Linked DNA regions of Rattus norvegicus. The protein of the gene in region 2 interacts with the protein of the main gene of each other region in a pairwise test. Links are inferred from orthologs where the notes say so. Each region holds a gene or a part of one and is shown on either strand. Other genes may lie near its edges.

Region 1 (4,108 bases), on a different chromosome or scaffold from region 2:
TTATACCCTGTCTGACGTCAATACTTATTACTATTTTTTTCATAGTCACATAACTTTTATTTTGAAAACCTTTCCTTAAAAGTTCTTTGCTTATAAAATATACAATAACCAGATATTTAAGATATTAAAAACAAAGAAATGTATGTTTGAGTTCAGGAATTGTCACTGTGAAGACAAATGAGATGGTGACTTCGTGTGAGGCACTGTTTCATTATAGAGAAGCTGTTAATGTTATCATAGAAATTTTCAAAGTCATGTTTTGTAAATCCATTAAAAAGAGTCAGATACACACATAGCAGTCATTTTTATTAGATGCTAATCACTGACATCAGTGCAAGGGCAGGTAATTATCCACACAATTCACATACAGCCCATACACTTGGACTTTAACATTAGGCTTTCAGCTCTACATTTATTTCATTACTTCAAACATATATTACGATGTATATTTGTTTCCAGTTTTTTCAAATACATCTTTGTATACATATACGCATATATATCATTCTTAAATATATATTTCCAAATATAAATAATTTCACATCAAGCCAAACAGGATAAAAACATGTAAACATATGCACCTCATTTTGGTCAAGTAAAACAGAACCACAAAATAACCACAAGTTAACAAGTGCACTTGAAAGAGAAGAAACAAACATGTAAACAAACACAGACAGCAGCTGCAAGGTCCTGTAAGGGTCCATTTTTTTTTTAAGGCTATATAGCAAAAAGCTCATAATTCAGTTAAAGACTTTTGTCACCTTGTCACATTTACTCTTAAGGGACTTCACAATGAGAAACTGTAAACACTAGACTAGAAGTGATTGAATCCTGTTGGAAAAAGACATCACAAGTCATCAGCTGACAGAAATATTAATTCCACCAAACAATACTTATAAGATTTCTTGTTATTTTGTAACACGGAGAAACATCACAATCCTAGCGAGAAGAAATGGGAAATAGAGGAGAAAACAGCAATACTGCATAAAGATTGCCTCAACAGCCTTTGAAAGCGATAGGGTTTTTGAGTCAGTCGATAAAGGGGAATAAGCAACAGCAGACAACAGAGCCTTAGCAGACCAGACCACATGCCACAGCGTGATACTACAGATTCAAATTGAAATATTCTTCCAGCTGGTACTGAAGCAAGAGCCACCGGTCATCAGAGATGGAAAAACTGCCTCGCAGGCAAAGCAACTTCTTAAGCAACTGATTGGCCAGGCGAAGCACGGAATGCTCCTTTTTACGGCTTTTAAACAGCACGCTTCCCTCTCGCAACTGCACAGGCTCCAAAACTTGATGCCAGTATGCGCTGGACGATCCACCACCATCTGGCCTCGGAGGCTGATCTCTCCAGCCCTCGGGGTATTCATGCTTGTAAAAACAGAATTCTCCAAATGGGCAGTGACCTAGGCCTCCAGCAAAATACCTGCAGGCTTTCTGGCTCATCCCCTCCTTATATTGCTGAACAAGTTTCTCCTTCTCCTCTTCCTCCTCCACCCAGAACTCACTAGGAATGACAAAGCCAGAGGAGACCCTGCACTGTGGGCAGGACTTACTGATCCTGTTCTCAAACTGTGTGGCACTTCTCCACCTGCGGATACACTTAAGACAGTAGGTGTGGTTGCAGCTGAAAAGGATGCCAAAGCGGCGGTCGCTGGGGTCGGCCTTCTCATAGACAACCTCCATGCAGATGCCACACACTTTGTCCATGCTGCGCTGCACAGCAAAAGAGAGTTCCATATCTCTCTCGTGTGCTTCAACGCAGGCCCTTCTATGAGCTTCCTGCTGAGCTGCATCCCAAGGGTGCAGGGCCTGTTGCCCGCACATGTCGCATATTTCTCCATGGGGGTATGCACACCTGTCCCCACGGAGGCATTGTCCCCGAGCAGCATAGCGGCAAAGCGGCAGCGGCATTCCCATGCCCATAGCCATATGCTCTCTCTCAATCTCCGGGCTCTGCAGAGGAGCCTCGGGACCATGCGGGGGGATCATGCGACCTCGATACGGCTGTCCAGGAACAAACTCAATTGCCCCCTCCCAGCCTTCTGCACCCGCTCCTCCCGCAGCACCTGCTGCAAGGCCTGCATTGTCAATCTCAGCTTCAGGGAAGCCCCTTTCAGCAGCTGAGCCAATGCCTGCATTGTCAATCTCAGCTTCCGAGAAGCCCCTTTCAGCAGCCGAGCCAATCAGAGGCAAGGAGCTTGAGGATGCAGTAGGGGGGGCTTCCGCCACTTCCTGAGTCGGGGGCTCCCAGTGAGTGGCCATCTTGGGTCCTCTGTCTGCAGAGGCCCGAGGCTGAGAATCTTGGCCCCCCCTAGCTTTCCGCCGCCCAGAAAGGTCGTGAGAGTAGCGACAGTTATCGCCCTCCTTGCACTGCCCATGCAGATAATACCTGCAGAGGATTTGCTTCGTCCAGCTGCCTGTGTTGCGCTCCGGACCAGACCTGGCCCCGCCCCCTTCGGCTGGAGCGGGTCTCAAACTCGCCGCGCGCCGGTTCGCAGGGACTGGAGCCATAAGAAACGGTGCCAGGCCCGATGCCTCTTGCAGAGGGGCTGAGCTGGCTACCGCAGAAGCTCCAGAAGCCTCAAACTGAGGAGGGGGGGGGGCAGACACACCCTCCCCCCCCTCAGCACCTGCCTCGGCGCCGGCGGCCTCGTAGGCTTCCATGGGAGCTGTAGACTCTTCCATCACGCAGCGTGCCTCTAACACTGTCCAAAAACCCGAATATTATGTCTTTTTTGTGCTTGAATTGCGGAGCTGAAGATGGTCCGATCAGCTTCTTCTCGGAGAGAAGTGCATCAATTTTTGTCTTCCCACCTGCTCCCTGTTCCCTGAGAACTTTGGTTCCTACCTGCTTACAGGCAGCCGGACACTTCCGGTTGTAACACCATTTTCCGGTGCTTCACCGGAAGTTGCTTCCGCCATGTTTTTCCCGTACCGGTAACCGCTTAAGATATTGGAATCGGCTTCTGCCGGCTCTCTTAGAGCGATTCTGAACTCCCCAACCCCCGTTTCCACACTGTTTTCCTTGAAGGTTGATGTTTTAATCTCTCCAGGTTTCGGTTGTATACATTGCATTTTATTTTCGTTTTCAGTTAAGAAAACGCTACAATCCTTGCCTTTGCCATCGGCTGCTATTGACATTTATAGAACATTTCACTCATAAACATTAAAAAATATTTTTCGGTTCAATCTGTCTTTTGTTTATAGGTGACTACTTTTTAAATCGAAAAGGGGCCCCCCCGCCGAAGCATTTCTCCTTTGACGCTTATAGATCTGACACAATTTCTTTGGGTCTTTTTTCCTTGAAGGGTTAATTTGCGTGCACTTTAATTAGAAGGGAATCCTCTGCCCTGAGGCTAGTCAGACAGAGCCTTTCACTTTCCTGCCTTTGTTATATATCCCCACCCACCCCACAACAAAGTAGAAGCCTAGACTTTGTCTAGCCCTGATGAAGACTTAATAAGCCAAGGTCTGAGAGTGACCCAGGCTTTTAACTTTTTTCTGTTGGTTGGATTCGGAGACCCTTTGTTCCCTGCCTTCCTTTTCATCCCATTCTGCTCTCCCGAGCTTTTCATAATACAAGCTCTTCTTTGTGCACCAAAGTGTCTCATTTCCATTTCCACATTGAGCCGCAGTTTTGTTTTGTTTTGTTTTTTCGTTTTGCAGATATATACTATTGGACTAATAATTTCATATATAGTTCTACAATGCTACATCTACTTACTATAGTGTCATACTAAATTTTATAGTGTAGTTATTTGTGGGTTTTTATTTTTAGTAATAACCATGTTGTCTTATAATATTTAATATACTACTTTTTTCCAAAACTAAAATTATGCTTGCTAAAATAATTTTATTACAGGCAGTCTTACAAACTAAGGTTAAAAAAACTCTGAATGCTTTTGATATAATCATCCAACTCAAAATATTAAAATATTATTCTCCACTAAATAAAGCCAACAACAATAAAACAAGCTAAGAGGAACATTATCAAAGAATATAGATAAAAGAGGTGAAATGAAGCAAAAGTAAATATGAAATAAGGAAATAGAATAAGCGAAATTTTTCTTGTATAACTTATCAAGAAACATAATAAAAGGCTCAG
Region 2 (3,500 bases):
ACAGGCCAGAGACAGGAGAAGGCTACCGCCTGCCCCAGAGCCCAGTTACCACCCCCTTGGGATGACTACCGGCTTACCTCAAGGCAGCAAGCAACCTCCTCGGCTCTCCATGAGCCATATGCCCACCACTTGGCTGAATGTCAGGATCCAATAACAGTGTCTGAACACCAGGGTATACTGCCTAATTATTTGGCTATTTCCGGGGCTGGAGAGATGGCTCAGCGGTTAAGAGCACTGACTGCTCTTCCAGAGGTCCTGAGTTCAATTCCCAGCACCCACATGGTGGCTCACAACCATCTGTAATGGGATCAGGTGCCCTCTTCTGGTGTGTCTGAGAACAGGGACAGTGCACTCACATAAATATTTCCATTTATGGGTTGGGCTTTTAGGCCCTAAAGCCGGGCACAGAGGCCAGCAGTCCCAGCCCCTAGGCACTAAGGAGATCACTGAGGAGGTAGAGACCAGCCAAGGCGTTATGGTGGCACTATCATCAGGATCTTGTCAGGATCCAGACCCAATTGTTACAGAGCTAAGCAGCATTCAACAGTTCCGTTCAGAAGCAACCTCCTCACCCTGTTTTAAGACTTGACATGAACATGTCATTACTGTCACTTTGAACCTTTGAACCATGTTCCCTGGGGATGGTGAGTTAGTTACAAGGACAGAGGTCTCAGAACAAAAGTGGCACACCCAAGAACCTGAGGGCACCTCCCAGAGCCTCCCGCCAGGACTGTCCCCTCACCTCTGTAGCCCTGAGCACCTCCCAGAGCCTCCCACCCAGACTGTCCCTCACCTCCGCAGCCCTTGAGGGCACCTCCCAGAGCCTCCAACCCAGGCTGTCCCCTCACCTCAGCAGCTGCTGCAGCTCTGCCTCCCGTGCCTTCTCCAGCTGCAGCTGCTCCTCGATGACCTGCTTCATCTGGGCCGCATCGGCCATGGCTTGCTCCCGCCTGGCCAGTTCGACTTGCTGCAGCTCATTGTCCTTCTCCAGCAGTGCCTGCAGGATCCGCCCATCTGCCTCCTGGATGCAGGGGTGGGCTGGTCAGAGCCCTGGTGCAGCAAGGTGAGCCCGCCCACCTTCCCACATAGTCTCTTCTACCCAGCCATGTGGGGCCTGACACATTCTCAGGACCGAAGGGAAGGAGTTGGGCCACAGCATCTGCTTCAGGCACTGCACAGGTCAGAAACTTGACCCCTCCTGCCACCTGTACCACCACAGGCACACGCCCCTGGACATGCATGACAACAGCACAGCTCAGAACACTGTATGGTAGGAACCTGTCTAAGAAATTACAGCAGAACTTGAACAGACACATGCACGAACTGCTCACTGCAACTGTAAATGTGGGAGCCCAGAATCCCTGAACGCACACAGGCAGGGGGTGCTGGATTAGCCGTGTCTACACAGCTCAACACGACAACAAAAGCAGGGGGATCCGAGGTGCAGCAGAATGGTGACAGCTCACCCCCAGCATCCTACACTTCATGACAGAGACACCACGCAGCTACCGAGTACGTTTGTCTTTCCCATAAAAACGCCGTGAGCAACGCAACTGAACAGAAGGAACTGCCTCAGGGGGTGTGTGGTAAGCAAGACCAGGAGATCTGTGCAGAAGCAGGCTGCAGACAGGAAGGACACCAAGGGAGGCAAGGAGAAGCTCGATGTGTGCCCCCTGTGAAATGACTGCTAGTTTAGCCAGCTAACATCTGCATTGCCTCCACGGTTTTTCCATGAAGACCTAAGGGTGAGCCAGCGAGACTCAGCAGGTAGAGCCCCTGCCATACTGACCTGAGCTGAAGGAGGAACATCCTCCTCAGGAGCCTCCTCTGACCTCCAAGTGCACACGGGGCCACATGCATGCCTGCCTCCCACACTCTAGCAGTAACATTTCAGTTTCTGTTCACCGGTTCTGAGTGTTTCAACTGAATACATGTGCACCTCGTGTATACCTGGTGCCTTGGAGCACCATGTGGGTGCTGGGAACCAAACCCAGGTCCTCTGCCAGAGCAGCAAGTGATCTGAAGCACTGAGCTGCCCCTCCACTCCCCAGCCTGCATTCATTCATTTACTTACTTATTTTAAATGAACACCTACACACCACGTATGGCGGCACATCCTTTAAACCCAGCACTTGGGAGGGAGAGGCAGATGGATTTCTGTGAGTTTAAGCCCAGTCTGGTCTACATAGCATGTTCCTAGCCAGCCAAGGGTACACAGTGAGAGCCTGTCTCAAAAAAACAGACGAATGCAGCTGGACAGATGGCTCGGCGGTTAAGAGCACTGACTGCTCTCCCAGAGGTCCTGAGTTCAAATCCTAGCAACCACACGATGGCTCACAATCATCTGCAATGAGATCTGATGCTCTCTTCTGGTGTGTCTGCAGACAGCCACAGTATATATATAAAATAAATAAATAAATATATATATATATATATATATATATATATATATATATATATATCTTTAAAAAAAATGCAGCCCACCATGGCTGCACCAAGCCCCGGCAGGCACAGACTGGTAGTGTTGTCGAGTGTGACCCACTCTCTTCTCCTCTGCACCGCCCAACACTGCTCTGGTCCCACCTGGGCTTTATGCAAGGACGCTCGCACTCGGGTCCCGCCTGCGCAGTGGCGATACCGTTCCCAAAGGATGGAGAAAAGCCTGCCAGCACCACTTACTCACCAGCTCCTCCTGGATCTGCTGGGTGCGCCTGTTGAGCTGCGCATTGTACTGATGTCGCAAGATGCGCCTGCAGAGGGGAATCAAGCCGCTTCAGTCCCGCAGAGCCAATCAACATCTGCTCACCGCAGGCCACACCCCCTTTGGTTCTCAGAGGCCCGCCCCCCTGGAAGAGCCCAGGCTTCCCTACACACCCTAGCTCTGTCTTGCGCCGGACGATGGCCATCTGCTTCCTTTCGTCGTCCAGCCTTTCCAGTTCCCAGTGCTGCTTCAGCAGGTTCTCCTGTTCCTTCTTCAGTTTGGTGGCCTGTGGTAAGACGGGGCAAGCAGACTGTCCTCGTGCACCTCTCCGTGTCGGGCAGGTACTACGTAAGCACAGGCTGGCCTAGATGATCATGATCCCCTCATGTGTCTCATGAGTCCCACCTCAACTAAGCCTTGCTACAAGCCTGGCCCAGCCAGAGAGACTTCCTGTGCCGGCCCTCACTAGCTAACTTAGCTTCAGTCTCTTGGGCCAGCACAGCCACCATGGGGAAACCAGAGATGAACATGTCCTTGTTTGGACAAGGACACTATCTCTACATCCACAATGAGTGGTGGGCACTACATCCCTAGTTATTAAAACAATGGGGCGGGGAAAGGGACACAGGAGACCAAAGAAGGTCTCTCTCCATCTGAACAGAGGACTCTGCTCTCTCAGGAAACCACAGCGTTCTCAAAGGCAGCTCACTGGACCAAGATCCCTCATGACTTACACACCGAAGCCCAAACTCGTTACTAGTAGAATGCTGTGCGCTGTGTGCTAGAGCATGTCCCACTG
Region 3 (4,295 bases), on a different chromosome or scaffold from region 2:
CTCCAAAATAACCGGACTGGGGAGTGGGGGAGGGGCGTTGCATACATGGAAGGAAAGGCCGTCTAGTCGCGCCCTCCATATAGCAAAGGGGTTCGGGAGAAGGACCCTGCGCCTTCCTACATCCCTAGTATTTTTGGACGGAAGACAAAAACCTGACCTATTGAAATCATTCCTCCTTGATAAAGTACCCATCCCTCTTCGGGAAACCGAGAGATCCCCCATCGTCAGTCTGGAATGAATCTGGAATGTAGAACCCGCCCAGACCCACACTACCCACGCCGTGCTGGGGCAAGCCACTCTCAAGTGCGGAGCAAAGGGGCGGAGCCGAGGTTTCTAACTAGAGGGACGTTTCCTCCCTCTGGCCAGTCCGCCACGCTTTCCACCCCCACCCTCTCTCCCCAAAGGCCTACACAACCCCCACGTGCCCAATACCCCCCCCAACCCTCCTAGCCGTGGGCGTGTAATGGGAACCAGATGGGGCTAGAAGAAACCGAGGGGGTTGGGCTCCTTGAAGGCGGTCCTCCGTGGTGGGCAGTCACGTAGACTACTCTTAGCCTCTTGCCAAGCTTCCACTACACTGTCCAGAGAGATCCAATAATTCATGACCTCAGAGAAGGCAGCCACCTTTTCCTGGCTTTGCCGTCCAATCCAAGCAGTAAGGCCTGACCATCAGAAAATAAAAAAGCATGGTAACCCCATCCCTGTCCTACCTACCAAACCCCGACGTGCCTAACCAACGCTCATGTAAGTAGTAGATTCTAGTATAACTTACGACCAGGGTTTCTGAGAGCCGCCTCTTCATATTACAACCTTTAGGCCAGAGAACGGTGTTGAAACACCGAAGGGATTCCTGCGCAGCCCCGCGCTAACAAGTTTACCCTAAGGGTACATCCTCCGGGAGCGGAGCAGGAGGAACCGAACACCCGGACCCCTCTCCAACTTTTTTCCCATCACTTCTAACATTCAAACTAACGGCATGGCGCGGCCAGAGTGCGGCCAACGGGCGTCCGCGTCGTTGTTTAGACGCGTGTGCACGTACGTGCGCGTGTCTTTGTATACTTGTGCGTGGTTGTGAAACTGCGCTCTCGGCTCACAGGAGTAGGAGTGGTGCAGGGAGTAGGAATGTAGCCGGCGGGGCGCTCACGTGGGTACGTGGGCGCAGAGAGGGCCGGCTGTGCATCCGGCGTGGGCGGCAAGGAGCGACCTGCCCCGCCCGTTGGGTCCCCAAGCTCCCCCCTCCATAGCTCGGCCTCGGTCACCTCAGTCCCCAACTCGGAGCCCGATTCTTGAGTCCCCGCCTCCGCCTCCTGCTCCACACCTTCCCCCCACCTTCCCCCAAGTCTCCTCCTCTCAGTCTCCGCAGCAGCCTCTCGGAGGCTCAGGCCTGGGCTCCCACCCACCGCCTCCGGTCCCAGCCCCCGGTTCTGCCCACGCCCTCCTCCCGCCAGCCCGGCAGCCAGCGCAGCGCGGGGCCTCGCTCCCTGTGCGTCCTGCGGGGGAGGAGGCGCGGAGAGGCGGCAAGCTCAGCCGGGGAGGTGGGGGCAGAGGCACAGACAGAGGCGCGGAGGCTCCGAGAGAGAAGACGTGGAGGGAGGGACGGAGCCAGGACAGCGGTGGACCCGGGCCGCGCGCGCTCCAGGCAAAGAGCAGCGCGCAGCAGGCGCCGGGCACCGAGACGGGAGGCACGGGTGATCTCTGGCCGTCCATGCACAGAGCGCCCTCTCCCACAGCGGAGCAGCCACCTGGCAGAGCGGATAACACCCGCCGGACCCCACAACCCAGAGTCAAGTTAGTGGGCAAAAGGAGGTGGCAGGGAGTGGAGATGGGTGGAGTTGGACTCCCGAATGGGGGTCTAGGGGGTGGGGGTCGAAAAGAGGACGTGGAGAATCGGGAGGTGGGAGGTGGAGACTGATAGAAAAGGGGGGGTGAGTATTCGAATTGGGGGATCCTGGGAGCAAACAAAGACCCAATGAGCCTGGTTACGATAGAGTACTGCCTCATTTTCCATTCCAGGTTTACTCAGTGGGCATAACCTGGTACGTGAGGCCCTACAAAGACTGTCCCCCAGCGCCAGGGAGAGCTCCAGAGCTTGATCTGTCAACAGTGAGGGGTGGGGGAGCTTAGCTGTCTTAGTGTGTCATTAGCCGGCAGCGCACCACCCCTAGGTCTGGGAGAAGGTGGTTCCTTTGAGTTAAGCATCTGTGGGCCTGAAGGGGGTGTGCTTCAGGCCTCCCTTGTCATGAAATGACCATTCACTGAATGAGGAGGGGTAGCCCCCGCATGCAGCCCCTTCCTCAAGAGGCCTTCAGTCTCTCTCGCACTCCCTTTTGAAGATAAGGATGGAAAACAAGGAGAAGAGAGTAGGCGGGAGCCCCCAGGCAGTTTTCGCCTACAGACGCTGCTCCTGTGGGAGTGTGTGGGAAGAACGGCCCCAGAGCAGAACAATCAAGGCTTCCCTCCCCCTTTCCCAGAAGAGAAGGACCAATCAAAGGAGAGGGGGTAACTGGAAGGGTACTGGGCAGCCTAGAAAGTTCGGACAGATTCTAGGAAGAGTGCTTTTAAACCCTGGAACCTAAGGACATGAGCAAGGGTCTACCAGGTTCCCTAAAGGCCAAGGAAGAGGCCACACCCCTCCCTCCCAGCTACCTGGGCAAGGAGTGAAGTGGCCAGCAGTAGCCCCTAGTATTCTAAGTTAACTTTAATATGGGATGTTTGTGCCACTGAGCAATGCTCCATTCTCAACCTTGGGCACTGGGCAGGAAAGAGGACAACTGTTAGTGTGGGTTGGTTGGTACCCAGCAGGACACTTGTACTCACCGCCTGTCTCCTGCCCTTCCTTCTCAGGGCAAGTGCCTCAACCATGGCACTGCCTCGAACACTGGGTGAGCTGCAGCTGTACCGGGTCCTGCAGCGTGCCAACCTTCTTTCTTACTACGAGACCTTCATCCAGCAGGGAGGGGATGATGTACAGCAGCTGTGTGAGGCGGGCGAGGAGGAGTTCCTGGAAATCATGGCACTTGTGGGCATGGCCACCAAACCACTCCATGTCCGACGTCTACAGAAGGCTCTGAGAGAATGGGCCACCAACCCAGGGCTCTTCAGCCAACCAGTGCCTGCTGTGCCTGTCTCCAGCATCCCACTTTTCAAGATCTCTGAGACAGCTGGTACCCGGAAAGGGAGCATGAGCAATGGGCATGGCAGCCCAGGAGAAAAGGCGGGCAGTGCTCGAAGCTTTAGCCCCAAGAGTCCCCTTGAACTTGGAGAGAAGCTATCACCACTTCCTGGAGGACCTGGTGCAGGGGATCCCCGGATCTGGCCAGGCCAGAGCACTCCAGAATCTGATGTTGGAGCAGGAGGAGAAGAGGAGGCCGGGTCTCCCCCTTTCTCCCCCCCTGCAGGGGGAGGAGTCCCTGAGGGGACTGGGGCTGGGGGGGTGGCTGCAGGTGGCACAGGGGGTGGTCCAGACCGCCTGGAACCAGAGATGGTGCGAATGGTGGTAGAGAGTGTGGAGAGGATCTTCCGGAGTTTCCCCAGGGGTGACACTGGAGAGATCACATCCCTGTTGAAGCTGAATAAGAAGCTGGCACGGAGTGTGGGGCACATCTTTGAGATGGATGATAACGACAGCCAGAAAGAAGAGGAGATCCGAAAATATAGCATCATCTATGGCCGCTTGGATTCCAAACGGCGTGAGGGCAAACAGCTTAGCTTGCACGAGGTGAGTACCTGGGTCTTCAGGACTGCCCTTCACTCCTGGGCTCAGTTCACTTGCCTCAGAATCCTCCACCTCTGTATCACTGTCCCCTTGACCACCCCAGTTCCTTCCACACACCCACACATACCCAACCCCAGCTGCTGCCTCACTTCCCTCAACCTAAGGGAAGAATAATGGCAACGAAACCCTGTGCTGCTCACATGCCAGGAACAGGAGGCCTTGGGAGGGACAGTCTCTAAGTTCAGGCAGTTAAGTCCTGGGTATTATTTAAAGCAGGCATTCTTTGGATGGGCCTCCCTTGGTGGTGAAGGGGAAAAGCAGTAGGAGAACCAAGAACTCACACTGATTGTCCTCTTGCCACAGTTGACCATCAATGAGGCTGCTGCCCAGTTCTGCATGAGGGACAACACCCTTTTACTTCGAAGGGTAGAACTTTTCTCACTGTCCCGCCAAGTAGCCCGAGAGAGCACCTATCTTTCTTCCTTGAAGGGATCCAGGTGAGACCCCCTTCCTTCCCCAAGGTTGGAATCCTGCCAAGGACTTGGCTCTCCCAACTTGCAACTCAGGCAGCTCCAGGCCT
Region 4 (3,500 bases), on a different chromosome or scaffold from region 2:
CTTTTTATTTATATTTATGGTATAATCTTAATTTTGCATTCTTCATTCACCTAAAACCTAAAACTCCCCCAAAATCGTTGCATAGTTTCCAAGTGAATAGACCATCATTTGCTTAACAGACCTTCTAATGCTTGTAATTGAGACGCTTCTGAGGTCGCATTTACACACTTCTGGATCTCTAACTGTGTGCTGTTGCTTTCATACCAATTGCTAGAGACAGAAAGAACTGATTGCGTTGGAGCACGAGAGAGAATTAGCTATGATGGAGCAGGAAATGATGGATCGACTCAAAGCAGAGGAACTCTTGTTTCAGCAGGTGAGACAAGAGGGAGGGCGTGGCTGAAGTGAACATCGCCCTTGGTGAGTGCACCCACATCCTGAGGTACTGACGATCTCCGGCCACTTAGACATGGCTCTCTAGTATTCCGTTTCTCTTTCTGGAAAAGTCTATAGCATGAGATAATAGGACAACCCAGAAAGTGAGTTGGGGTGGAAGCCAAGGCAACAGTGAGGCCAAGGGACAGTAGCCAACAGCCCCACTGCTGAGCTGGTGCTCATTCTAAGGCCAGGCAATCTCTCTAGGAAGAGTGGGCAGGGGGGAGGGCGGTAGGTGAGGAGAGAGATAATGAGTGAGCATAGTCCTTTCATGGAGCTTGTGAGGGGACGAGCAGTGGGCTTTATTTTGGTTTAAGAACACACAGAGTACAATGAGTGACACTAGAAAGTAGAAAAAAATAGTCTAGAGGCTCTGTCCACAGGCATGAGAGAAAATGGGTCTGGTAAACGAGTGGACGAGTGCTTCTTATTGTAGTTCAGGGACAGAGAATGGGTGGCCTCCGTTTTAGGTGGGTGTGTCACCTGGTGACAAGTTAAAAGCAGACTTCATGCTACCGTCTCTATTGTCTGTACAAAGTAAGAACCAACCGTGAACACACATGAAGAATAATGAAATAATATGGTACTAATAATAATTATATTTTATTATCATTAAATAATACGGTAGGGGATGAAAGAGTGGGCTGATCAAGCTTTACATGTTGAACATCTCTAACCTGAAAAAAAAAATCCAAAAACTGTTCCTAAGCACGAAACTTTTTGTGAACTTACACAACGCCAAAAAGTGAGAAATCCCACACTGTTAATCTTTGTTTCACGCAAAAATTATTAAAATATGGCATACAATTATTTTCAGGTAGAAGGCAAAACGTAACTGAATTTCATGTTTAGGCTTGGGTACCATACCTAAGGCATCTTTCTATTTTGATTTACATATTAAAGATATGTAAATATGTCAAAATTAAGAGATCTGGAGCAGATCTAGTCCGAAGCATCTCTGAAACAAAATCCTCAGCCTGCATGACGCCACGTTTCGAGACCGATATTCACAATAGTGCTGGTCCCTTGGCCCATCCTCCCCTGACAGCTTCTCCTGCTGGTCTGTGTCCTACTGAAGAGAAGCAGGGATCTCTGTAGTTTTCCTTCTCTGGGACAGCGAGTTCACGGGAAGATACTCCACTTCCTTTCACTCATCTCTTTTACCCTACTTGAATAAACGTTAGCAACACCAGAAAGTAAGCATTTTCCTAGCCATGCTAGCCGGCAAAGCTGATCTGCTGTGCGTTGAAAGCGAAGCACTTCCTGTGCCAGGTATGCGGAAGGTCCGGTGACATTCTACAAGGAGACTGCGGCTGGTTAAAGGCGTCGGTTTGGTGAGCAGAAACACATGAGAGGAGGAGGGCTGGCCCAGCAGAGAAGGCTTTCTCACCAAAAGTCTAATAATACAAACAAGCTGATTCTGCAGGGGACAAGTCATTTCTTTGAATGTGGAAATCAACATTGTTTAAATTAACTCACACTGGCAAATGTCATTCTCGCTTTGACAACAAGTGAATTACTTAGATACTCAATATTTTTTGCAGGCTTGTTCTATGTTTTATGAAGAACTTTTGCTGTAATAAGAGAATCAATCTTAAAATTTCTTTCTTCTTTTTTTTTTTTTTTTTTTTGAGATAGACGTTTTCTGTGTAGCCCTAGAAGTCCTGGAATTCACTCTGTAAACCAGGGTGGCCTCCAATTCACGGAAATCAATTTGCCTCTAGCTCCCAAGTGCTGGGATTAAAGGCATGTACCACCACACCCTGCAACTTTTCTATTTTTTTTTAACATTTACTTTCTTTTTAAAATTAAAAGAATACTATTATGAGTGTGCGATTTATGCAGGGGTGGGAACAGAATGCATACACACCACGGCCCATGTGCGGAGGTCAGAAGTCTGCATTGTGGAGTTGCTTCTGTTTTTCCCCCCTTCAGACTGGTTATGGGGATTGAATTCAGGTCAGTAGGCTCCCTGATGGTGCTTTTACCCACTAAGCTGTCTGATGACCTTTGACCTTTGCCTTCTCGTAAGTCGAGACTATTGGTGGGTGCCTCGTCCGTGAATGACATTCACCGGGTTCTTTTTTTTTTTTTTTTTTTTAATCTTTATTAACTTGAGTATTTCTTATTTACATTTCGATTGTTATTCCCCTTCCGGGTTTCGGGGCCAACATCCCCCAGCCCCTACCCCTGCCCTTCTCTATGGGTGTTCCCCTCCCCATCCTCCTCCCATTACCGCCCTCCCCCCCAACAATCATGTTCACTGGGGGTTCAGTTTTGGCAGGACCAAGGGCTTCCCCTTCTACTGGTGCTCTTACTAGGATATTCATTGCTATCTATGAGGTCAGAGTCCAGGGTCAGTCCATGTATAGTCTTTAGGTAGTGGCCTAGTCCCTGGAAGCTCTGGTTGGTTGGCATTGTTGTTCATATGGGGTCTCAAGCCCCTTCAAGCTCTTCCAGTCTTTTCTCTGATTCCTTCAACGGGGATCCTATTCTCAGTTCAGTGGTTTGCTGCTGGCATTCAACTATGTATTTGCTGTATTCTGGCTGTGTCTCTCAGGAGAGATCTACATCCGGCTCCTGGTGGCCTGCACTTCTTTGCTTCATCCATCTTATCTAGTTTGGTGGCTGTACATGTATGGGCCACATGTGGGGCAGGCTCTGAATGGGTGTTCCTTCTGCCTCTGTTCTAAACTTTGCCCACTATTCCCTGCTAAGGGTATTCTTGTTCCCCTTTTAAAGAAGGAGTTAAGCATTTGCATTTTGGTCATCCTTCTTGAGTTTCATGTGTTCTGTGCATCTAGGGTAATTCAAACATTTGGGCTAATAGCCACTTATCAATGAGTGCATACCATGTGTGTTTTTCTGTGATTGGTTTACCTCACTCAGGATGATATTTTCCAGTTCCATCCATTTGCCTATGAATTTCATAAAGTCATTGTTTTTGATAGCTGAGTAATATTCCATTGTGTAGATGTACCACATTTTCTGTATCCATTCCTCTGTTGAAGGGCGTCTGGGTTCTTTCCAGTTTCTGGCTATTATAAATAAGGCTGCTATGAACATAGTGGAGCACGTGTCTTTGTTATATGTTGGAGCATCTTTTGGGTATATGCCCAAGAGAG
Region 5 (4,105 bases), on a different chromosome or scaffold from region 2:
AAACCGGATTAGTACCCGGAACTCTGACTTTGGCTCTGGCTGAAGCTGGTTGAGCCTTGCTCCTTGAGGATGGACCGGGGCTGCCGGGAGGATGAGGAGAAGACTGAAAAAGAGAAACAAAAGTGTGAGGTGGATTGTGGGACATAAGCAAGCTGCCAAGGAGGGAACTGGATTGCCAGGACTCTGGGAGGAGGGCCTCAGCCCCGACCCTACAGAGTCAAGCTGTTGTCCCAGGAACCTTACCTTCTCCAGAAGAATAGGACTGCCCAGAGGAGTGCTGTGAGGAGGAGCTGCTGGGATGGGGGTGGGTGAGAAGAAACACAATCATTAGATGTGCAGAAAGCAGCAGAGGAAGAGGTACGGTGAGCAGGGACTAAGGGCCAACTCACTGGACATTCTCGCCATCCAGCAGACGGCGGTAGGTGGCGATCTCCTGCTCCAGCCGAGTCTTCACATCCAACAAGATGTTGTACTCCTGGCTCTGCTGCTCCATCTCGCAGCGCAGCTGAGCCAGCTGCTCCTCCAGGCTGCCGATCAAACCCTGGATCTGGGACAGCTGCACGCAGTATCTGCCTTTGGTCTCTTCTAGGCTGTTCTCCAAGGATGCTTTCTGTGAGTGAAGAAAGTACGGGGGTGATGATCAATAGCGATGGTGTCCTCTGTCTCTGCTGGCCCCTGGGACATATTTTAGATAGGTCCGTGGATCTTGACCCCAACTGGAGCAGTAATTAGAAAAGATTTATTGGAAAAATATTTCCCATACTTTCTGACTTTATTTTCTCTATCTGTATAATGGGTACCACGGTGCCGCCAGTCTCCTGCCCTGGTGACCCCTGAGGGAAGGGGACTACTGGACTGCACTAGGACCAGATTCTTCATACCATGCTGAGCTGGGACTGCAGTTCGATCTCCAGGCCCTGGAACACCCTGCGGAGCTCAGACACCTCGCTGCGGCCGCTCTGTATCAGCTCATGGTTAGAAGCCACCTCTTGGTTCAGCTCCTCGGTCTGAGACAGAAGACAGGAAAGGGGGTGAGACTCTGCACAGCCTCCGTGGCCAGAAGTCACAGAGGAAGCGGGTCCCCACCTTGCTCTGGAACCAGGCCTCCACATCTCTGCGGTTCTTCTCTGCCATCTGCTCATACTGGTCCCTCATCTCGTTCAGGATGCGGCTCAGGTCCACACCAGGAGCTGCGTCCATCTCCACGTTGACGTCCCCACCAGTCTGACCCCTCAAGGCAAGCATCTCCTGCAAAGGTCATGAGGGTTGGTCACTTCTCCTAGGGACCTCACCACACTGCCTTGCATCTCCCAAACCCAGCAGCAGCCCCACCTCCTCGTGATTCTTCTTCAGGTAGGCCAGCTCCTCCCTGAGACTCTCGATCTGCATCTCCAGGTCTGCCCTGGACATAGTCAGTTCATCCAGCACACGGCGAAGGTTGTTGATGTCACTTTCCACTAACTGACGCAAGGACGTCTCATTATCATACCTGGGAAAGAAAGGTTACAGTGACAGATGGACAACCCTACTCTTTTGTCCTTCCCTCTGCCCTCTGCCCTCTGCCCTCTGCCCTCTGCCCTCTGCCCTCTGCCTACTGCCCTCTGCCCTCTGCCCTCTGCCCTCTGCCCTCTGCCCTCTGCCTACTGCCCTCTGCCCTCTGCCCTCTGCCCTCTGCCCTCTGCCCTCTGCCTTCAGCCCAGCATGCTGGTTGCTCACTTGGTCCTGAAGTCATTAGCTGCCAGCCTGGCATTGTCGATCTGCAAAACGGACTGCGCATTCTCCTGCTTGGCTCTAACGATCTAGAGGGAAAATGAAAAGATTCAAGGCCTGATCACCCAGAAACCCTGCTACTCAAGGGCCAAGGAAGAGGGGAGCAAGAGGAGCCAACCCACGCCTAACAGTTCAGCTACTACAGCTTCTGACAACTGATTGCTTACTTCTACTCCCAGCTCAGGTTATGTAGGGGTGCACTGACATCTATCATCACCTCTATCCTAGGTCCAGAGCTGAGGAGGTGAGCATGTAGCATAAAGTGGCCTCAAAAGGATTAAGTGTCAGAGTCCCAGTTCCAGCTGAGGCATGGATGCTCTTAAAGGACCTTCAGCAATGTCTCTGGATAGCACTGACCTTTAACTTGAAAAGGTCTTCAGTCTACTTGCTTATGTATCTGTACAGGTGTCTTCCCAAAGCCCATGGTTCTGCTGTCGTCTCATCCACCAGAGCCACCCACCTTGCTCTGCAGGTCCTCGATGGTCCTGAAGAAGGGGGTGTAGTCTTTGATCTCAGTGGGACGCTGCCTCTGGTACCAGTCACGGATCTTCACCTCCAGGTCACTGTTGGCCTCTTCCAGGGCACGCACCTTATCCAGGTAGGTGGCCAAGCGGTCATTGAGGTTTTGCATGGTCACTTTCTCACTGCCAACCAGGAGCCCATCGCCAAGACCACCACCAAATCCACCACCAAGTCCTCCACCAAATCCACCACCAAGTCCTCCACCAAATCCACCACCAAAACTGCTGCTGCTGAAGCCCCCACTATAGCCACCTCCAATCCCACAGGCTGCCCCAGAGGAGAAGCGAGAGGAGGTGACCGACATGCCCCCATAAGTGCTGGGAGCCCGGCAGGATCCTCCAGCCAGGACGGAGGACATGCGGCTAGAGCCACCACCGATGCCACAGGAGCTCTTCATGGAGCTGGAGGAGGTGAACTGACGGCTGCAGGTGGCCATGCTGAGGAACGTGAGAGTGTGGGTAAGTGAGCAGGGAGAAGAGAGAACTGCTCAGTGGAGGGTGCAGATGCTGAGAATGCCTCAGACACCAGACTCTTTTATATGCACCGGGAGAAGGTGGGGCCCTCCTTCTGCTGACTCCAGGTTCCACTGTGGATTTTGTCAGTCAGTCCTGTCCAACTACCCACTCTGGATTATTCAGCCCAGGGTGGACTCTCTCTTCCATTTGCTGGCTCAGAGTTCCTGCCTACCTTTTGGGGTGTGGGGCCAATAGAAAAACACACAAATTCGAGTCAGTAGTGACTCAGCTTGTGTGGCCAGAAATGGGCTTCTGTTCCTTGAGCCTGAGGGGACAGCAACAGGGAGGCCTAGGTGCAGGCTGCCTTGTGGCAGGCGTGTCTTCAGGCAGTGAGTCAACCAGTCCCTGCCCCACAGTGAGAACCTTAGGTGGCTGGAGTTTCATGAATGCCATCCCAGACTGCCTTGTGATACTCTCCATTTAAAAGGTCCCTCACCATGGATCCCGAAGCCCTTCATAACTCTTCTCTGTGCCTGCTCTCCCCCTCCAAAGAGACAAGTCCAGGCTGGGTAACTGCAGCCCTTTCTAGTTCTAAAAAAAAATCAAAGATTTCATTTCCCATGTGATGTAATTTGGATTTGGAAGCTGCCTTTGAGACACCAGGATGTCCACAGTGGTGTACACCACAGCATTCTCTCCATATGCTGCCACATGCCTACACTTTCCCTCACCCAGTGAACAATACAGGAGGATCCTGTCACACCTATGGGTCTCAGTTCTTTTTTTTTTTTTTTTTTCGGAGCTGGGGACCGAACCCAGGGCCTTGCACTTCCTAGGCAAGCGCTCTACCACTGAGCTAAATCCCCAACCCCTGGGCCTCAGTTCTTGCGGGACACCTAAGAGTCACAAGAAGCATGCCTGGAGGACCCTACCCCTGTGGACTGTCTGTTCATCCTTCTTCTGCAGCCTTGCTGCCTTTCTTACCAACCTCCATATCCTGACCCCTAACATATGAGCCCTACACTTAGAGAGCACCCACCCGCAGTTCCTCCATGCCACCTCCTGCACTCACCTACACAGAGTAACCCACTGTGCTCTGTAGTGGACTCTATAGGAAGGAATTCCATCCTGCTCCTGATACTGCTTGTGAGCCATCAGCCCTAACCCCACTCTACCCCTCAAGGGCCTTAGAGGTCCCATGTGGAAACCATCTTGCCCAGATTTTCCCTAGCTGGGCTTGGTGCCTCTGTTCATCCAGTGTGCACAGGACTTTAGGATGATTAAGTCCTGCAAGTTAAGGTCAAATAGTAAATTTACGGTAATTTAAGACTCTGATTTAATTATAATAAATGTTTACA
Region 6 (3,500 bases), on a different chromosome or scaffold from region 2:
GACTTTTTACTTGCCTTGCCTCTGCCTGGTATTCTGTTCCCTCAGATGTATACTTCCTCAGTTTCTTCACATCCTTATTATAGCATGACCTGTGGTTTAGCCTCTCTCATCCAAACTCCCCCATACACCTTCCTTGCTTTACATGATCTCAAGTACCTGGTGCTCTCTGTTTTATATGCTATTGTGCGCTTTCTCCCATAGGCTGTAAGCAATAAAACCTGAACTACTTATATTCCCCAATATCGTAATCTGATCTTGCTGAATATATACGTATCCATGTGTGTGTGCGTGTGAATACAGTTGTCAAAGAATTGTCAAAGCACCATTTGGATGGCGATGGTGCTATCACGTTTGAAGACTTAGTGTTTATGTGCTCTGTAGCTTCCCCTAGTAACTTAGGAAAGTCAACAAAGTAGGAGCTTCACCCAGTCTGCTCTTGTAGCCAGAGTTTGTACCAACAAACATCTTTAAACCAATTGCAGCTTAGCTTGGAAAGACTGTTCTGTATTATTACTTTTGATATTTATAATATGATATTAACGGAACAGTTGTTTCTCAAAACAAGACAGTTAAGTTTAGAGACCTTTACAATCGCTGTCTGGGAGCTAGGAAGATGGCTCAGCAGTTAAGAGCATGTACTGTGTCTTAGTCAGGGTTTGTATTTCCACACATACACAAAATCATGACCAAGAAGCAAGTTGGGGAGGAAAGGGTTTATTCAGCTTACACTTCCATGTAGCTGTTCATCACCAAAGGAAGTCAGGACTAGAACACATGCAGGTCAGGAAGCAGGAGCTGATGCAGAGGCCATGGAGGGATGTTACTTACGACTTGCTTCCCCTGGTTTGCTCAGTTTGCTTTCTTATAGAACCCAAGACCACCAGCCCAGGGATGGCACCACCCACAATGGGCTAGGTCCTCCCCCCTTGATCACTAATTGAGAAAATGGCTTATAGCTGGATCTCATGGAGGCATTTATTTCCTCAAGGGAGGCTCCTCCTCTGTGATAACTCCAGCTGTGTCAAAAGCAACCAGTACATACTGTTCTTTCAGAGAGCCAAAGTTCAGTTTCCAGCACCCACATGAGGCAGCCTACAACTACCTGTAATTCAAACTCTGGCTCTGTGGGCCTCTGCACTCATTTATACATACCTACACAGACAGACAAACACACAACTAAAAATAAACATTTAAAATCACTGTTCTAGAAAATGTTAGGTCTGGGTCATGACCTTTCAGCCTAGAGGTCATGACATTTCCCACTATATATCATAGAGCTGACCCATAAAATGCACTACAGAGATAATTGTTTCAATGACCTGTGTCACCATAATTGCTGGGCTTTCCTCCCCCGTAAAGGCATTCCCCCTATACATCCCCCTTATTGCCCCTCCCCCATATTCCCCTGCACTGGGGATCCAACCTTGACAGGACCAAGGACTTCCCCTTCCTCTGGTGCCCCAACAAGGCTATTCTCTGGTACATATAATTGCTGGGATTTTTAAAGTAAAAGCTTTGTGCTCTGGCAACCCCAGAGCTCAGCCACCTATCTTCAATACACCACTAAAGAGACAGATGATAGTGGAAAACAAAAGATTTATTCAACATGGCTATACTGAGAATAGGAACAAATATGAGGGGCCTGATGACTGTACCTCCATGTCCATTTAAGGACTTGCTAACATGAGATGTAGGTGACTAGAGGACAGGAGGTTTATATAACTAAGCAGTGCCGGTCAAGGTGTGGTCCTACCTACGTTGTTTCAGTTCTGGTCTGTCCTGTAGGATGGACTGACAAGTTGTCAGTCAGAACTATGTGGAACACAGTCTTTCCTTTCCCCTGGTAGGGGATTCCGAGGGAGATTTTAATTATTTGGGGGACAGGGCATAGGTGTCTCTTGAGATTATCTATCCTGTCAGGGTTTTTTTTATATATATATATATATTATTACTAAGTTTCTATTCCTCGGATTGTAATATAACAAAACCTGTCTTCTTCACACATATGCCTAAGAAGTCAATTGACAAATAAGCTTTAAAATAGAGAAGCCAAATGTGGTGGCTCATACTTGGAATCCTAGCATGTAGGAAGCTGAGGGAGAATTGCTATGACTTCCCAGGACAGCCAGGGCAGAGGGGAGGGGGTGGAATAAAATAGAATCCTGGCCCCATGTTTAAGGAGGAAGCATGAAGCAAAACTGTATTGCTGCTTTGCTTAAAAGCTGTGATAGGTCTGGGTGGTAGTGGTACATGCCTTTAATCCCAGCATTCAGAGGATAGAGACAGGCAGATCTCTCTTGAGTTCAAGGCCAGCCTGGTCTGCAGAGTAAGTTTCAGGACAGTCAGGACTCACAGAAAACCCCTGTCTTGAAAAAACAAAACAAAAAAGATATGATAGGAATTGAGGTGGGGAGAGACAGACTTGTGAAACAAGTATCTTCACCACTGGTGTACTTCTTCATTTCTTGCATTAATATTTGGTTGCCTTGAGAATCTAGGTATAGGGGGTTAGAGGGAGAGCTCAGTCATTAAGAGTATGTCCTGCTTTTCTGGAGGACCTGGATTAGGTTCTTGGCACCCACATCAGTAGCTCACAGCTACATGTAACTCCAGTTCCATAGGATCCAATGCATGTGTCTGACCTTCAGTACATGTACTCTCATAGACATACACACACACACACACACACACACACACACACACACACACACACACACCTCTTCAAAGAAAAAAAGTGAAGAGAGTCCAGACAACAAACTTTGCTTTGACAGTTGTGTTCACAGTAGCTTGCTAGAAATTTTGGAGTCTGCTCAGAGGCCCGTGTCTTTGGCTCAGAGAATTCCTCTCAAAAGCAGAACGTCAGGATTTGAATAATGGTATTACCAAATGATGATCTTAGAACTGTAAGACTGAATGGTCATTCCTGAAATAATGCCCACATCTCTGTCAAGTAGGCTGCTGTCATTCATGTCTGACAGGGTGCATGAGAGACTACTTCACCTGCTAGGAGGCCCCAGGTCAACTGAATTTTAAGTAAGACTCCGATTTCTTTTAGGGCATTCTGTGTTCTATTGATCTGACTTGCATGTGCTGGGACTTGCTTCATTTATTTTAAGAACTGGGTTATATAAAATGTTGAAGTAAGCGCACTGAATTTGCTGTTTGTTGTTTATTGTGCTAGATCTCCAACTTGCTGCAGAACTCGGAAAGACGCTACTGGATCGGAACACAGAGTTGGAGGATTCTCTTCAGCAGATGTACACAACCAATCAGGAGCAGTTACAGGAAATTGAGGTAATTTACTCATCGAGAGGTACATTCTCTGTGATGTGTTGCTCTCTGCTCTTGTCATGGACTGCTAAATAGCATTGAGAAATAGTATTCAGCTTCCGAGTAGTCTGTTTTGAGAAATTGAACCACCAAAGATACTTTAAAGAAAGTTTTCCTAGTATGTAAGTCTGCTCTGATTAAAAAAATAGTTTTCTCTTCAACCTTGGTAA
Region 7 (3,500 bases), on a different chromosome or scaffold from region 2:
GAAAGCTTAACAGATAAAGGCACCCACCACTGAGACAGAGGACTGAGTTTTATTCCTGACGGCCACATGACAGACGAGAGCTGACTTTGACAGATTGACTTTTGACCTCCATTCACAGGCTTTAGAATGCTCATGCCCCCACACATATATAAACTCACACATGAGAATTAAAGAAATGTAATTTAAAAAGTAAGAATAACAGCTTCAGTGTTCTTTCCTACCCATATTCTCTTTCTCCACCATTTCCTCTTATTTTATTTTACTGTATTTTATTATATTTATTTTAATAGATTGAGTCTTTGGTATATATTCTTGGCTGGTCTGGAACTCTCAATGTAGACCAGGCTGGCCTCAAATACACAAGAGAGAATTACCTCTTCTGTCCGCTGGGTGCTAGAATTAAATAAATGTGTGTGTCACCACACCCAGCCTCTTGCTTTTTTAAAAATAAGGTTTAACTAATTTTTACTTCTTTTGAAAAATAGTGATATTTTATGTAAGTTTTTAAGAGATATCATCTTTAACACACTTTCTCTTTTCTCAATTTGGATGTTAATAGTCTGATATGTCTGTGAAGGAAATGAGTACTGGGAATCATAAACAAAAGCGGTAGGACTGCTTTCGTCTCCTGATCCGTTCTTTATTTCCCCACAGAACTTTAGCCCTCATCAAACCGGATGCAGTATCGAAGGCTGGAGAAATCATTGAGATGATAAACAAAAGTGGGTTCACTATAACCAAACTCCGAATGATGACGCTGTCAAGGTAGTAACGCGTCGCTCGTTTTCAGTTATATAATGTCTTTTATTGTTCCCATCAGTCTTTAAATAAACAAAAGCAAAAACCAAACGAACAAAAAACCCCACAGAACAACAGCAAAAGTCCTTTCACTGAGTGGCATCATGGTGATGAAAGCAAGGCAATAGGCAATCGATCAGCCAAGCCTGAGCTCTCGTCAGATTCCTAGTCCTCATCTAACTGTGGTGACGGCCATATTCCCTTCTGCTTTCGTCACAGGAGTTCCCGATCTCTTCTAGTAAGAGTGTACTGTATGAAAGGAATAGAGTGTGTGACCATCTAGTGATTTCTCTTGGTTCTGGTTGCCAAAAGGGATGACTTTAGAGATGTTTACTCACCTTTTACTCAGCCTACTGTGGTGCCAGCATGCCTGTTTACTTCTCCAGAAGGCAATCCAGCCTAATTAGATATTTCTTAAAGAATTTGATGAAAATAAGACTTACCCCAGTAAGCCTTTTCTATCACAAAATAATTGTGATCCCAGGATAAAGGGCAATGGTAACCGAATAGTCACAATGCCAAGCCAAGAACAGGGAAGTGTGTCTCCCTTCCTTCAGTGCAGGTCTGATTCAGGGAGGATAGAAATGAATGACGTGATGCAGCTCCTGTCAGCATTTGGTCAGTGCTCGGCTGGTATCTGATGGGAGTCTTCAGCATCCCAGAGATGAGGTGCTTTATCACTGCTGACGTCATAGCTGCCATGTCATACAATACGAGCACACTTCCGAGACGATGCGAGGGTAAACAAGGGATGGGGCATCGAGTAGTAGGAAGCAGAGCAGGGTATGCAGAACTTACTAGCAAATCACCTGTGCTACTGTTGACTGCTCTGTACTGCTCAGGTCCAGTGTAGGCAGCCGCAGCAGTGAGGTCATGACTGCAATGGCTGTGTGGAGCCCTGCAGATCATTACATTGTACAGCCTTTCTCCCAGTCGCCCATCTCTTACACTCTTTCGACCCATGCGTCTATGATCGCCCCTGAGCCTTAAGGGGATGGTATAACTGTCTTGGTTAGGGCTCAGCACTGGGCACTAGGGGAGAGCTTTCCTTAGGGCCGAGTGCTTGACTATTCCTTCTCTCAGTGCCTTGAGCCTCCTAGAATCTTCGCGTTCATCCCTGTTCGCTGGAAAGAGGCTTACATGAGTAAGGTTCGTGAGAGCAGCATTTGTCTGTAGGTACAAACAGTTGCATAGAAGACAGTTTGACACCATGTCAAGTTAGCTAACGGACAACAGTAAGTTTCCCACAATGGTCTATGGCCTCCCTAGCCATAGATAAGCTCTTAAAAGCATTGTATACAAAATTAATTCTCAAGTCTAAAAGGTTGTGGGGTTCTTGCTAGTGAACAATTTTAGTTTATTGGCCATTTTAAAAACTAGTTGAGGGGCGGAAGAAATAACTCTGCAGTGAAAAGCACTGGCTGCTCTTCCAGAGGACGCCAGTTCAGTTCCCAGCACCCACATGGTGGTGGACACCATCTGTAACTCTAGGGAATCTGACGCCCTCCTCTGGACCACAGCAGGAACTGCCTGCATGTGCTAAACAGACATGCAGGCTAAATCCTCTACATTTAAAATAAACTAACATTTTAAAAAAATTGTTGTTCATATATAGTTGTTACATAGTATAAAATCTTTTCAGTCCAATGAGAAAGCACCACAGTTAAGATTTTGGTGGGGCAGAAGCTGTTTTTTAGAGCTCTAAGCTTACCAGTTTAGATCATAGTATCTTTTTATTGTCCGCAGAGCTACTTTTAGTGGAAATGTAGATTTTAATATGTATAATTTGCCAAGCAATTAAGGAAATACAAGTATATAGATCTTTTCCTTGAAGATATCTAAGAAGTAAGCAACAACTAGTAAATTAAAACCTGCAGGCATTTGGCATACAGCCCAGCAGCAGAGCTCACAGCTAGCATGAGTCAGGCCCTAGGTTCATCCCCAACAGATGACAAAAAACAAGGTAAGCTGTAGCTGAAATTCTAAAGCCTAAAGTTGATTCTGATTTTTGAATTAGAAGATGTCCGTTTTTTATGTAACTTGTTTAGACTTTAAATAACAAATACTCTTATCGATTTGATATCTAACAATATATTAAGAATAATGAGATACTAGTAAAATGGAAGACAGATGAAGTGTAACATTAATAAAAAAGTAAAATTATCCTCTTACTTTAATTTTTTATCTTATTATACATAGAACCATTACTTGGAATATGCAGTTTGGTAGAAAAAACATTAATTAGTTTGCATACAGATCATGTTTATGTGTTTTAATCTTTATTTTAGTTTATTAACACAAGTTAAACTATTTTCATTTTTATTATCTTATAGGAAAGAAGCAGCAGACTTTCATGTAGACCACCACTCAAGGCCTTTTTATAAGTAGGTACTCAGCTTGTGGACTAAAATTGTTTTCTTTATACTTTTATCAGATAAGCCTTTTTATATCCAGCACTTGACCCTCTAATCAGAAACAAATGAGTGACTTATTTGTTATGAGGAATATCTTTATATCTCAGTGAATTAAAGGAGCGAGTTTGTAATCATAGTTTGTGTTGGCAATGTTGTTGTACCTTAAGGCCTTTACTCTGATATCTTGTATGGACAAGGCAATAGTCACAGAACTAAGTAAGGACATGTAGTTTGTTCCTTTGGAAATGGCTAATCATAGATGTTAGAAGCTAACATCTATTCTAAGTA

Evidence for each region.
Region 1: the proteins of Tchp (region 2) and Mkrn3 interact in binary tests that used the Homo sapiens proteins (3 or more experiments, as listed by UniProt). The two-hybrid records come from large-scale screens. The link is inferred for Rattus norvegicus from reciprocal best matches to the Homo sapiens genes TCHP and MKRN3.
Region 3: the proteins of Tchp (region 2) and Nab2 interact in binary tests that used the Homo sapiens proteins (3 or more experiments, as listed by UniProt). The two-hybrid records come from large-scale screens. The link is inferred for Rattus norvegicus from reciprocal best matches to the Homo sapiens genes TCHP and NAB2.
Region 4: the proteins of Tchp (region 2) and Dydc1 interact in binary tests that used the Homo sapiens proteins (3 or more experiments, as listed by UniProt). The two-hybrid records come from large-scale screens. The link is inferred for Rattus norvegicus from reciprocal best matches to the Homo sapiens genes TCHP and DYDC1.
Region 5: the proteins of Tchp (region 2) and Krt16 interact in binary tests that used the Homo sapiens proteins (3 or more experiments, as listed by UniProt). The link is inferred for Rattus norvegicus from reciprocal best matches to the Homo sapiens genes TCHP and KRT16.
Region 6: the proteins of Tchp (region 2) and Cdr2 interact in binary tests that used the Homo sapiens proteins (3 or more experiments, as listed by UniProt). The two-hybrid records come from large-scale screens. The link is inferred for Rattus norvegicus from reciprocal best matches to the Homo sapiens genes TCHP and CDR2.
Region 7: the proteins of Tchp (region 2) and Nme7 interact in binary tests that used the Homo sapiens proteins (3 or more experiments, as listed by UniProt). The two-hybrid records come from large-scale screens. The link is inferred for Rattus norvegicus from reciprocal best matches to the Homo sapiens genes TCHP and NME7.

The regions. Positions count from the first base shown.
Region 1 is NC_086019.1:125,338,379-125,342,486, forward strand, and holds Mkrn3 (probable E3 ubiquitin-protein ligase makorin-3), read right to left. Parts: upstream 2,801-4,108; 5' UTR 2,689-2,800; coding exon 1,102-2,688; 3' UTR 286-1,101; downstream 1-285. UniProt on the Homo sapiens protein: E3 ubiquitin ligase catalyzing the covalent attachment of ubiquitin moieties onto substrate proteins.
Region 2 is NC_086030.1:47,542,949-47,546,448, forward strand, and holds part of Tchp (trichoplein keratin filament-binding protein), read right to left. Parts: exon of another isoform or gene 2,988-3,500; coding exon 2,875-2,987; exon of another isoform or gene 2,751-2,874; coding exon 2,684-2,750; exon of another isoform or gene 1,022-2,683; coding exon 849-1,021; exon of another isoform or gene 1-848. UniProt on the Homo sapiens protein: Tumor suppressor which has the ability to inhibit cell growth and be pro-apoptotic during cell stress. Inhibits cell growth in bladder and prostate cancer cells by a down-regulation of HSPB1 by inhibiting its phosphorylation.
Region 3 is NC_086025.1:65,386,456-65,390,750, reverse strand, and holds the start of Nab2 (NGFI-A-binding protein 2), read left to right. Parts: upstream 1-1,495; 5' UTR 1,496-1,705; coding exon 1,706-1,788; intron 1,789-2,844; coding exon 2,845-3,718; intron 3,719-4,078; coding exon 4,079-4,212; intron 4,213-4,295. UniProt on the Homo sapiens protein: Acts as a transcriptional repressor for zinc finger transcription factors EGR1 and EGR2. Isoform 2 lacks repression ability.
Region 4 is NC_086034.1:16,981,532-16,985,031, forward strand, and holds part of Dydc1 (DPY30 domain-containing protein 1), read left to right. Parts: intron 1-214; coding exon 215-316; intron 317-3,500. UniProt on the Homo sapiens protein: Functions as part of axonemal radial spoke complexes that play an important part in the motility of sperm and cilia. Plays a crucial role during acrosome biogenesis.
Region 5 is NC_086028.1:85,669,412-85,673,516, forward strand, and holds the start of Krt16 (keratin, type I cytoskeletal 16), read right to left. Parts: upstream 2,801-4,105; 5' UTR 2,729-2,800; coding exon 2,231-2,728; intron 1,800-2,230; coding exon 1,717-1,799; intron 1,490-1,716; coding exon 1,333-1,489; intron 1,249-1,332; coding exon 1,087-1,248; intron 1,008-1,086; coding exon 882-1,007; intron 611-881; coding exon 390-610; intron 294-389; coding exon 244-293; intron 104-243; coding exon 9-103; 3' UTR 1-8. UniProt on the Homo sapiens protein: Epidermis-specific type I keratin that plays a key role in skin. Acts as a regulator of innate immunity in response to skin barrier breach: required for some inflammatory checkpoint for the skin barrier maintenance.
Region 6 is NC_086019.1:184,945,537-184,949,036, reverse strand, and holds part of Cdr2 (cerebellar degeneration-related protein 2), read left to right. Parts: intron 1-3,181; coding exon 3,182-3,294; intron 3,295-3,500.
Region 7 is NC_086031.1:79,221,462-79,224,961, forward strand, and holds part of Nme7 (nucleoside diphosphate kinase 7), read left to right. Parts: intron 1-654; coding exon 655-765; intron 766-3,131; coding exon 3,132-3,182; intron 3,183-3,500. UniProt on the Homo sapiens protein: Possesses an intrinsic kinase activity. Displays 3'-5' exonuclease activity with a preference for single-stranded DNA. Does not seem to have nucleoside diphosphate kinase activity.